Linked DNA regions of Bombyx mori. The protein of the gene in region 1 interacts with the protein of each later gene in a pairwise test. Links are inferred from orthologs where the notes say so. Each region holds a gene or a part of one and is shown in the gene's direction. Other genes may lie near its edges. The genes, in order: DNA replication complex GINS protein SLD5 and DNA replication complex GINS protein PSF1.

The links.
Region 2: the proteins of DNA replication complex GINS protein SLD5 (region 1) and DNA replication complex GINS protein PSF1 interact in a two-hybrid assay, tested with the Drosophila melanogaster proteins (2 studies listed by BioGRID). The link is inferred for Bombyx mori from reciprocal best matches to the Drosophila melanogaster genes Sld5 and Psf1.

Annotation. Positions count from the first base shown.
Region 1 is NC_085121.1:9,245,075-9,249,633, forward strand, and holds the start of DNA replication complex GINS protein SLD5, read left to right. Parts: upstream 1-1,737; 5' UTR 1,738-2,934; coding exon 2,935-3,511; intron 3,512-4,193; coding exon of another isoform or gene 4,194-4,216; exon of another isoform or gene 4,217-4,559. Other genes in the region: opsin-1, read right to left, coding at 1,594-1,600.
Region 2 is NC_085118.1:17,160,841-17,164,733, reverse strand, and holds DNA replication complex GINS protein PSF1, read left to right. Parts: upstream 1-1,244; 5' UTR 1,245-1,374; coding exon 1,375-1,446; intron 1,447-1,708; coding exon 1,709-1,773; intron 1,774-2,612; coding exon 2,613-3,063; 3' UTR 3,064-3,179; downstream 3,180-3,893.

The DNA of each region.
Region 1 (4,559 bases):
GTGGCAAGGGACCGGCGTATGATATAATTAAGTGCGGCATGTCGCGAGAAGCGGTCTGCACTTTTTTGGCAAGACAGTCCGTGATGTCCTAGCTTGTCGACATCACTGCCACAGGGACATTTATGAGGAACACAGACCGGAACCCCGAGCCGTACACAGGTTGCGATTCGGAGCGTGTCAGGCTCAAGAAATGTTCCTGTATTTGACGAAGGGTACGCGTGAATCCAGTAGCCGGCCTCGTGCGCACCCACAGCCAAAAGCCTAGCACGCGCCGAACCTGTACTACAGCTCAAAAGATTGTCATATGTCAATTTGCAGTTTATGTCGTCCCAGCTCTTCTGTGAATTTAGAGAAACTGGAAAATTTTGACGTGGGCATCCAATTAAGAAAGCGTTTCTAGCTTCTTCCAAGCCAGCAATCTCAAAGTTTTTTACTTATGAGATTTGCTGAACTATGGACAAAAGATAGGAAGGCTGGTAAAGCGACACGAGAAATTTTGCGAGTCCCTAAACCACCAAAACGGATGGGTAGGGATGCATGGGTCCAAGTTAGCTCGTTTAGCTGCATATTAAGAATCGATTCTAAGCCATTTTTGATTAAAGTCTACTTGTGTCAAAAGATCTGGGTGATTCCAAAAAGAGCAGCAATGGAGCACATACGTAAATTTTGGAACGAAAAAACTAAATTTTAAGATGCAAAGTGCTTAATGTGGACTAATTTCAAGGAAACGGTCAGCAGAATTTTGAAATTTAGTAATAAATTTAGTTATTTATAAAATAAACTATGTTTAAGTGCCGCCGTTATAGTACGGTTGATATTTGCAAAGTACAGCTATTTGTAAGTACAGATATTTGTAAGTACAGCTCTGTATTACTGAGGTAATGTAGTTATGCGACTTCAAAGAAGCAGGTTTATGTGGCTAACAAGATTAAATGTCTTCGCTAGTACGTACGTACATTATTCGATACAAAAACTGCAATTAATTGTTTAAAACAAACTAGGTGTGTCCCGCGGCCCACGGCTCTATTTTAAGTAAAATTTAGAATGAATAATGTAAATGTATTTACGGGATGGTCAGTGTGCTTGTACCAAGCACATGTACAACAACTTTCAGTAGTAATGTCCGAAGTAGAGTTCATTGTTCCATCCACAGCTCATTTCTAGAAATAATTCTAGGATGAACTCTATAGCAAAGTATTTCTGAAAGCTATATTCAGACGAGTTTTGAAAATAATATGTAGTTTTAAGTGGGAGGCGACGCACTCTTTCATAGTGTCAGCACTGGCTTTTCTCTTCTGAATATCGACTTTTTTCGTTTTCTTGCTCTTCATCCCTAATTTTACTAGTAAGATAAGGCTTGCTGTAAGCCTACTAGGATGGCTCGAGCACCCATTACTACTGAGACTTCCACAACATGAAGCAATAAAAAAATATTTAAAAATATTAACCATTCAACCCTTCAAACCAGGATGATGATTGGTTTGCACAAGAAATAAACAAGATGGTATGGCGGCTTATACTAATTTTATTACAGCGTTCGATGTTATTCCTTCACTACTAAACTTTGTTCAAGAACACAGTGGAGAAACATACTTAACATACAGGAACATTATCATTTGTAGAAATCGAACTTGATATTAAATATCATCGAGACTCATAGCTGCTCACTCACTCTTCGTAGTATTACTTATGATAGAAATAGATAAAACATTGGTTCAAACTAGAGGTGGCTAATATAACCAATAACCAATAAATTTACCGGTAAAAAAAATTAACACTTCTATTCGATAAATAAAATTACCCAAAACGGTTAAAAATACCGTTTACCAAACACACTGCGTGTAGTGGCATAGGCAATTATTGGAAATTATATTTATGCAAGTTTCAACTTTATTTCAACACGTAAGATTCATTTTCGCCTTGCAGATGTCTTCAACTTATCATGTAAAAAATATTGAATTTTATGATTTCATTGTATGCTCTATACCCCTCAAAATAAAGCACAATATTTAAGTTGGTGTATTTTACAGTTAATGATAATTTTTTTCGTTAAAAAATTGAAATGAAACGATATTTTTACCGAACGCGAAGATGACGTGATTGGTTGATTTTTTAAACGTAATATTTTGTTTGGTACTTGACATTTTGGTGGCTCAGTGCATCTTTTCTATTATTTTGGTAAAGTTGTGTTTTTGTATTTTAAGAGATTTGTACTTTGTGTTTGTGTGTTTTGACTTTGTTTTTGTGTGTTTGAGACTTTGCTTACTTTGTTGTTGTGGATTTTTAAATTGTATATCTAATTTAAAATGCCGAAACGCAATGCAGAAATATGGGATCATTTCGAAAAGTGCTAGTACCATTCAAGTTTAACATTAGCAAAATTAATTTTTCAACGAAAAGATTTACCGGTATTTTCAACCAATAAAAATATCGGTAATTTTTTTTATCAATTACCAGTTAACAGATAAATAAATTCAACCGTTAACGCCATCTCTAGTTCAAACCAACAAAGTTTTAAACAAATAGTAAGCAAAAAAATCTGTGAGAAAAAAAATTACATTATTTTACCATAAACTTATTATTTCAATAAAGGTAGTAGAAATAAAATCCCGTGCTATTCAGAAGAAAAAAAAAATTAATGACAATTGAGGTATGTCATAAAGTAACAATTTGTTTAGTACAGAAAGCAAGACAAAAATACAGAAAATTTTAATAAAAGAAAAAGATAAAAGAAAAAAAAACTATGATTGTAATGTAGTGAAACATGAATGCGATTATATACTCTTTAAATTTATAATGAATTGGTAAAAAAAGCTCTTTAGAACCTAAAAAACACCAGAACTCAAATTCGAGTCGTGAAAGCTAGAATAATATCATTCAGTGACAATCTAAAGTTGCACTAGAATTCTGTGGGTATATATAATTTAGAAGAATATGGAGTCAACCGAAGAGTTGCAGTTCAGTGATGATGAAGAAGAAGTAACAGCTGAGACTGTTTTAAAAACACTACAAAGTGCTTGGCAAAATGAAAGATTGTCCCCAGAAATACTCCCTCATCAAAATGACATGGTAGAATGTATGTTAGGTCAAATACAACACATGGAAAGAAACATAAATAAACTTTCAAAAACTGATTTGAGAACTTCTATACACAAAATGGAGATTAGCAGAATTAAATTTATTATTTGTAATTATCTTAAAACTAGACTGAATAAGATTGAAAAATATTGCATTCCAATACTAAACCAAGAAAGACAAAGAATAGAAACTGATACTAATTACCTAACACCATCAGAATATAAATATGCTCAAGAATATGTTTTGAACATGGAAAATCATATGAAAAATGTGGTATTAAATAAAATGCCTGGTAATATGCAAGTCTTTGAAATGAACAAAATGGCAGAACATCCTAATTTACAAACGCATGTATTCCTTAAAGCCAATGAAACCATTAATGGGGTTGTATTAGAAGACTTGACTGGTGAAGATGAAGAAATTGACTTAGAAGGTTTGTTATTGATTTTCTCACAACTGAAACACATTATAGGTTTTCTTTTGTTATACTTTGATAGATAGAGCAATACCCTTGTTGGTTTAATGACCTTGACTATTGTACCACAGGATATCACCTATATCATTGAAGTTATCATGACTTAAATAATAATATTATGGTATATTGAATGATTTGATTATATATGTCTTAAATTGAATCTAATTCTGTTTGATTAATCCACAAAAAAGAAATAACACTATGGAAACAATAAACTTGCCAAAATAAAAATAATATCCCATAATTATTGGTGGTAGGCCATATGGGAATGTGTCACCAATTAATTAGTCTCTGCCATAAAGCAGTCATGAAGTTTGAAGAATGGGGACAGTCCCCATACTAGACAATGGAGACTTAGACCTCATATCTCAGGAGGTATTCACTTTTTATAGTATTTATAGATTTTGGTGAACATTTAACATTGTGTATGTCTGACACATACAACACTTCTGAACATACATTATGTAGCAATCTCAGAAATAAAAAAAAATCAAACACAGTGAATGATATTTACCATAGGAGTTAAAATCTTATACTTTTAAACTAATCTAAAGTGCAAAGTTGTGCTATAATTAAAATTATTATTTTTTTTAATTAAAACCTTGAGGCAAGAGTTCTAAGTCTCCGTTTTATGACTCAGTTAATGGCTGCCCCAACTCTTAAACCAAAACGCATTACTGCTTCATGGCAGAAATAGGCAGGGTGGTGGTACACATCATGCAGGCTCACAAGACACCGTACCACTAGTGAAAGTGTAAGTAAGATGTTAAATGATAAAGCTGTAATGTAAAAATGCTTGTAATTACCTTAACATTTCAATTTAAAGTCTAAATTTTATTGTAGGTATGTAGCCCAACCATATACTTACACCAGTAAAGTCAAATTTATTAATTTCGTAGGTTTGTAATTGCAGTAATGCTATCTATATAAATACTAAGTTTATGCATTTCCTCAGAAAACTAGGGAATGTCATAGAATTTTAAATCTGAAATAGCAGTAGCTATCA
Region 2 (3,893 bases), on another chromosome or scaffold:
ACTTAATCACACAATGTAACAAGGATATAGTAAGTGCACCGAGCAAACGCAGTCGGCCGGGGCACCTGGCTTATCTATGAGTCACTCCTGTTGCACGTGCTGTTTTACGAGTGGAGTGACACGGCCGGCGCACCTGGCTTGTGTATGACTCACTCCTATTGCACGTGCTGTATAACAGAAGTAACGTTAACGCCGTCATAGATATGTTACTGCTTATTATTTCTGTGTGTTAACACAACGTAACGACATTGGGAATGTCGTTGGTGTAGAGAGCGTAGAGGATCGGTGACAGGATACCTCCTTGGGGAACCCCAGCTGTGGCTGGGCGCATCCACGATTTAGCGCTCTTGACCGCGACAAAAAGAGTTCTGCCCTCCAGGTACGACCCCAGTAGTCGCACGTAGGCGTGCTGGAAGTCCGTGTTCTGCACCAACTTGCAGATAAGCCCCGCACGCCAGACACGGTTGAAGGCCTTCTCGAAATCGAGAAATACTGCCGCCATGTACTGGCGTGCGTTGGACCGTCAAAAGGTGCATAACGCAGACCAATTGCAGCGTTGTTGAGTGACTGCTACGTATCCAGAATTGCTCGGGTCTGAGAAGGATGTGCGGAGACACTCTTCTCACCAGCAGCCGCTCGAACAACTTGCCCACATACGACAACAGGGTAATCGGACGATAATTGGAGGGCTGTCTTCTGTCCTTCTAAATTCCCGGGAAATATCCTGTAGACAGAATGTAATTAAACAGCCGTGTCTTAAAAGACACGACTGATTCTAGAAAGTGGAAAAATGCAAGGGTGAGAATACCGTCCTCACACAATGCCTTGCGCCTCTTTATCCGCTTGATAAGGAGGCGCAATTCAGCGGGAATGATGAAATCATCATGTCCCAGAGGTGGCACCGGGAGGTTAGTTTGCACGTCGAACACTTTGTTGAGTTCGACGAGTACGGTTATCAGGGTCCCTAAGTCTGCTCCTAATGTTAAAGTTGAAAGCGTCTTTGCAAGAGTAATTGGATCTGATGGTCGACCCGATAAGGAGAGTGAGATTATTATTGGCTGTATTGCTACTAAGTGATTATCTGTAAAAAGTTACTTGTATGACTTAGCTCCCACTTCTAGAAAATTTTAATATCTTAAGATTAGGTTTTGGTATTATAGATTTAAAGATCAAGGCTTCTGTGATTTTCGAACTCATCCAAAAATGATGCGTATCCGATCATAAAATGTCAAATTTACTATCTGTCACAGTCTTGAGCTGTCACTCATCAAATTAATAACAACTTTCGCGCCAATGCCAAAAATGTTTTTATCTAAATTATTAAAGTATTTTGTTTGTTATCTCTCTCATTGTTAAGTAAATAAGTAACACACAATGTTCGCAGAAAAAGTTATAGAACTAATTAAAGAAGTAGATAGAAATCCTGACACAATAGATCAATATAATGTAAGTTGGATGTGCCCATCTAGGTATGGGATTGGAATTAGAATAAACTTGTTATATCTAATGAAAGCTTTAAGTTACTATTTAATACCGAAACCAAGATTTTATCCGGTTGTCATCTATTCTGTTTGTCTATGCATATGCACTATAAAGTCAGAAATCCATTTAGAAGTGACAAGTATATTAAATTATTGTTATAGCACCGCCTATTATTATTTTTGTGTCTTTTAATCTTATAAAGTACATAGTATTTCACATGTTACAGGATGAAAAAATACGCCAAATAATAGAAGAAATGCATTTATTATTTAAATTGAACATGAATGATGCGTAAGTCACTGGTTTTCTACTAATATAACTGCAAGTAGTTATTGTTCAATATGCAAGATTTGCTATGATCACTTCTATTCTGTAACCTCCTATTCTGTTTCATGTGATGCAAAAGTGCTCAGGTAACCTTGTAACTCCAGGAAGGTCTATTTTTGTTTTTTTTTGTCAATCTATTGCTACTAACCTCGAGGGGTTATGCTAGCTTCATGGGATTTGAGGTAGCCCTGAGATCTCTCACCCAATTATGCAAAAAAAAGTTTTATGACTTTTTTGTTTTATAACTCTTCACATTCAAGCAGTTTGGATAACTTGCCCAGCAGATTTGATAGCTTTACTGGTTGTGCTTGAGTAGCACAGATATCTCACCCAGCAGATTTGTTACAGCACTACGGTTATGTATCTGCTTAAAAATACTTTAGTGGACAGGCTTGGCTTCAATTTCTAACCAAATCTTAGCTCAGCTTATTGAGTTTTTTTACAGTGTAGTTGTTTTTTAATAATAGTACTAATTATTGTTTTTGGTATATAAAAAAAATAGAGAAATGTGTGTTTGTTTGTTGATCTTAAAGTACTTTTAAAATGTTTCTCTAATTTGGCCAAAATCGGTCTGAGTTGCTGGTCCGCACAAACGAAAACGTCATTTAGTGCAAAGGGGTTAATATTTTCATGCACTTGAGTCTCATGTGGTGTTGTAATAAGGTTACCTGCTATTAGTCCATTTTAATTTAAATTTCAAAAATATGTAGTTCAATTGCTCATCAAGTTCATTTATAGAAGAAGAAGATAACAACAAACTGTTTTATGATTACCGCTTGTATTAATTGAATTACTATTTTTAGTAATGCTACAACAGAAAACAGATCATTGTGGACCACAGTTCAAGTAAGACATTCTGCCCTTGAACGCAATAAAAGGTGTATATTAGCCTATCTCTACAACAGAATGAAAAAAATTAAGACATTACGTTGGGAATTTGGTGCAGTACTACCTCCAGATATCAGAGAATTGCTTTCTGATGATGAATATCAATGGTTTTCAAAATACTCTGGAAATCTTGCTTTGTATATGAGATCTTTAGGCCAAGATATAGGATACAGTGGCATAGACTTGACTGAAAATTTAAAGCCCCCTAAATCATTGTTCATCGAAGTGCTTTGTGTTGTGGATTATGGTAAATTAGAACTTGAAGATGGTGATGTGGTTATGCTTAAGAAGAATAGCAGACATTATCTTCCTACTTCGGAATGTCAGACTTTAATACGACAGGGTATTCTGAAACAAATAATGTGAATTTATTTTATCAATAGTGAATTTTTGACCATTTTATGTTTTAAATAATATTGTGAAAAATAATGTTTGATGTCTGTATGGAAATAAATTTTATGAGAAGATTATTTTTACCATAAGCTTAGTGATTTGACTTGATTAGATTTGCACCTCCTAATAAAGCAAGTGTGTGTCCATTTTTTTTACTATCCCTGATGGGTGAAAGAGCAGTCATAGTGGCCTAAAGAATATAATGCTTGCTGTAGTCAAATCAAATGATGCAACAATCAATATCATCATCAGCCCCGAGGTCTCCTAATATCAGACTTCAGACTTAGAACTTTTGTTTAGGTGTGTGGCAGCATTTGCGTTTTTGATATTTACGTGCCCTGTTAATGAGCTGGCATTGAAAAAAACTATTTTCTCAAAAAAGATACAGCGCAGTTTTTTTTTTTTTTTTTTCCTACCTATGATGGTAGCCTTGAGGGCTCAAACCTGATGACGTTGCTAACACGAACCCTAGCAAGAGCCGTGCTTCGCAGAATCTACCACCGGATCGGAAACGCGACCCACTGAGAAGATACGGCGAGAAACTCAGTGGGCTGTGTCTGGGAGTTAATTTACTCGTCGAGCCCTTCGACGGGTTCGACGAGAACGGTGACCGGTGCTTGAAGTACCTAAAAGCACCGTTAGTGGATCGGGACGATCCGAGATGACGTGTTTTGGGCGACGTCGACTGCTTTCCATTCTGTCCGCAGGATCGGGAATGTAGTTACTGGCGGCCACGATGAGAGGGTTCTCGTGTCGTGCCGCTTTATCGAAGTGGCGCATCGACGCCGACTGAAGATACTTAC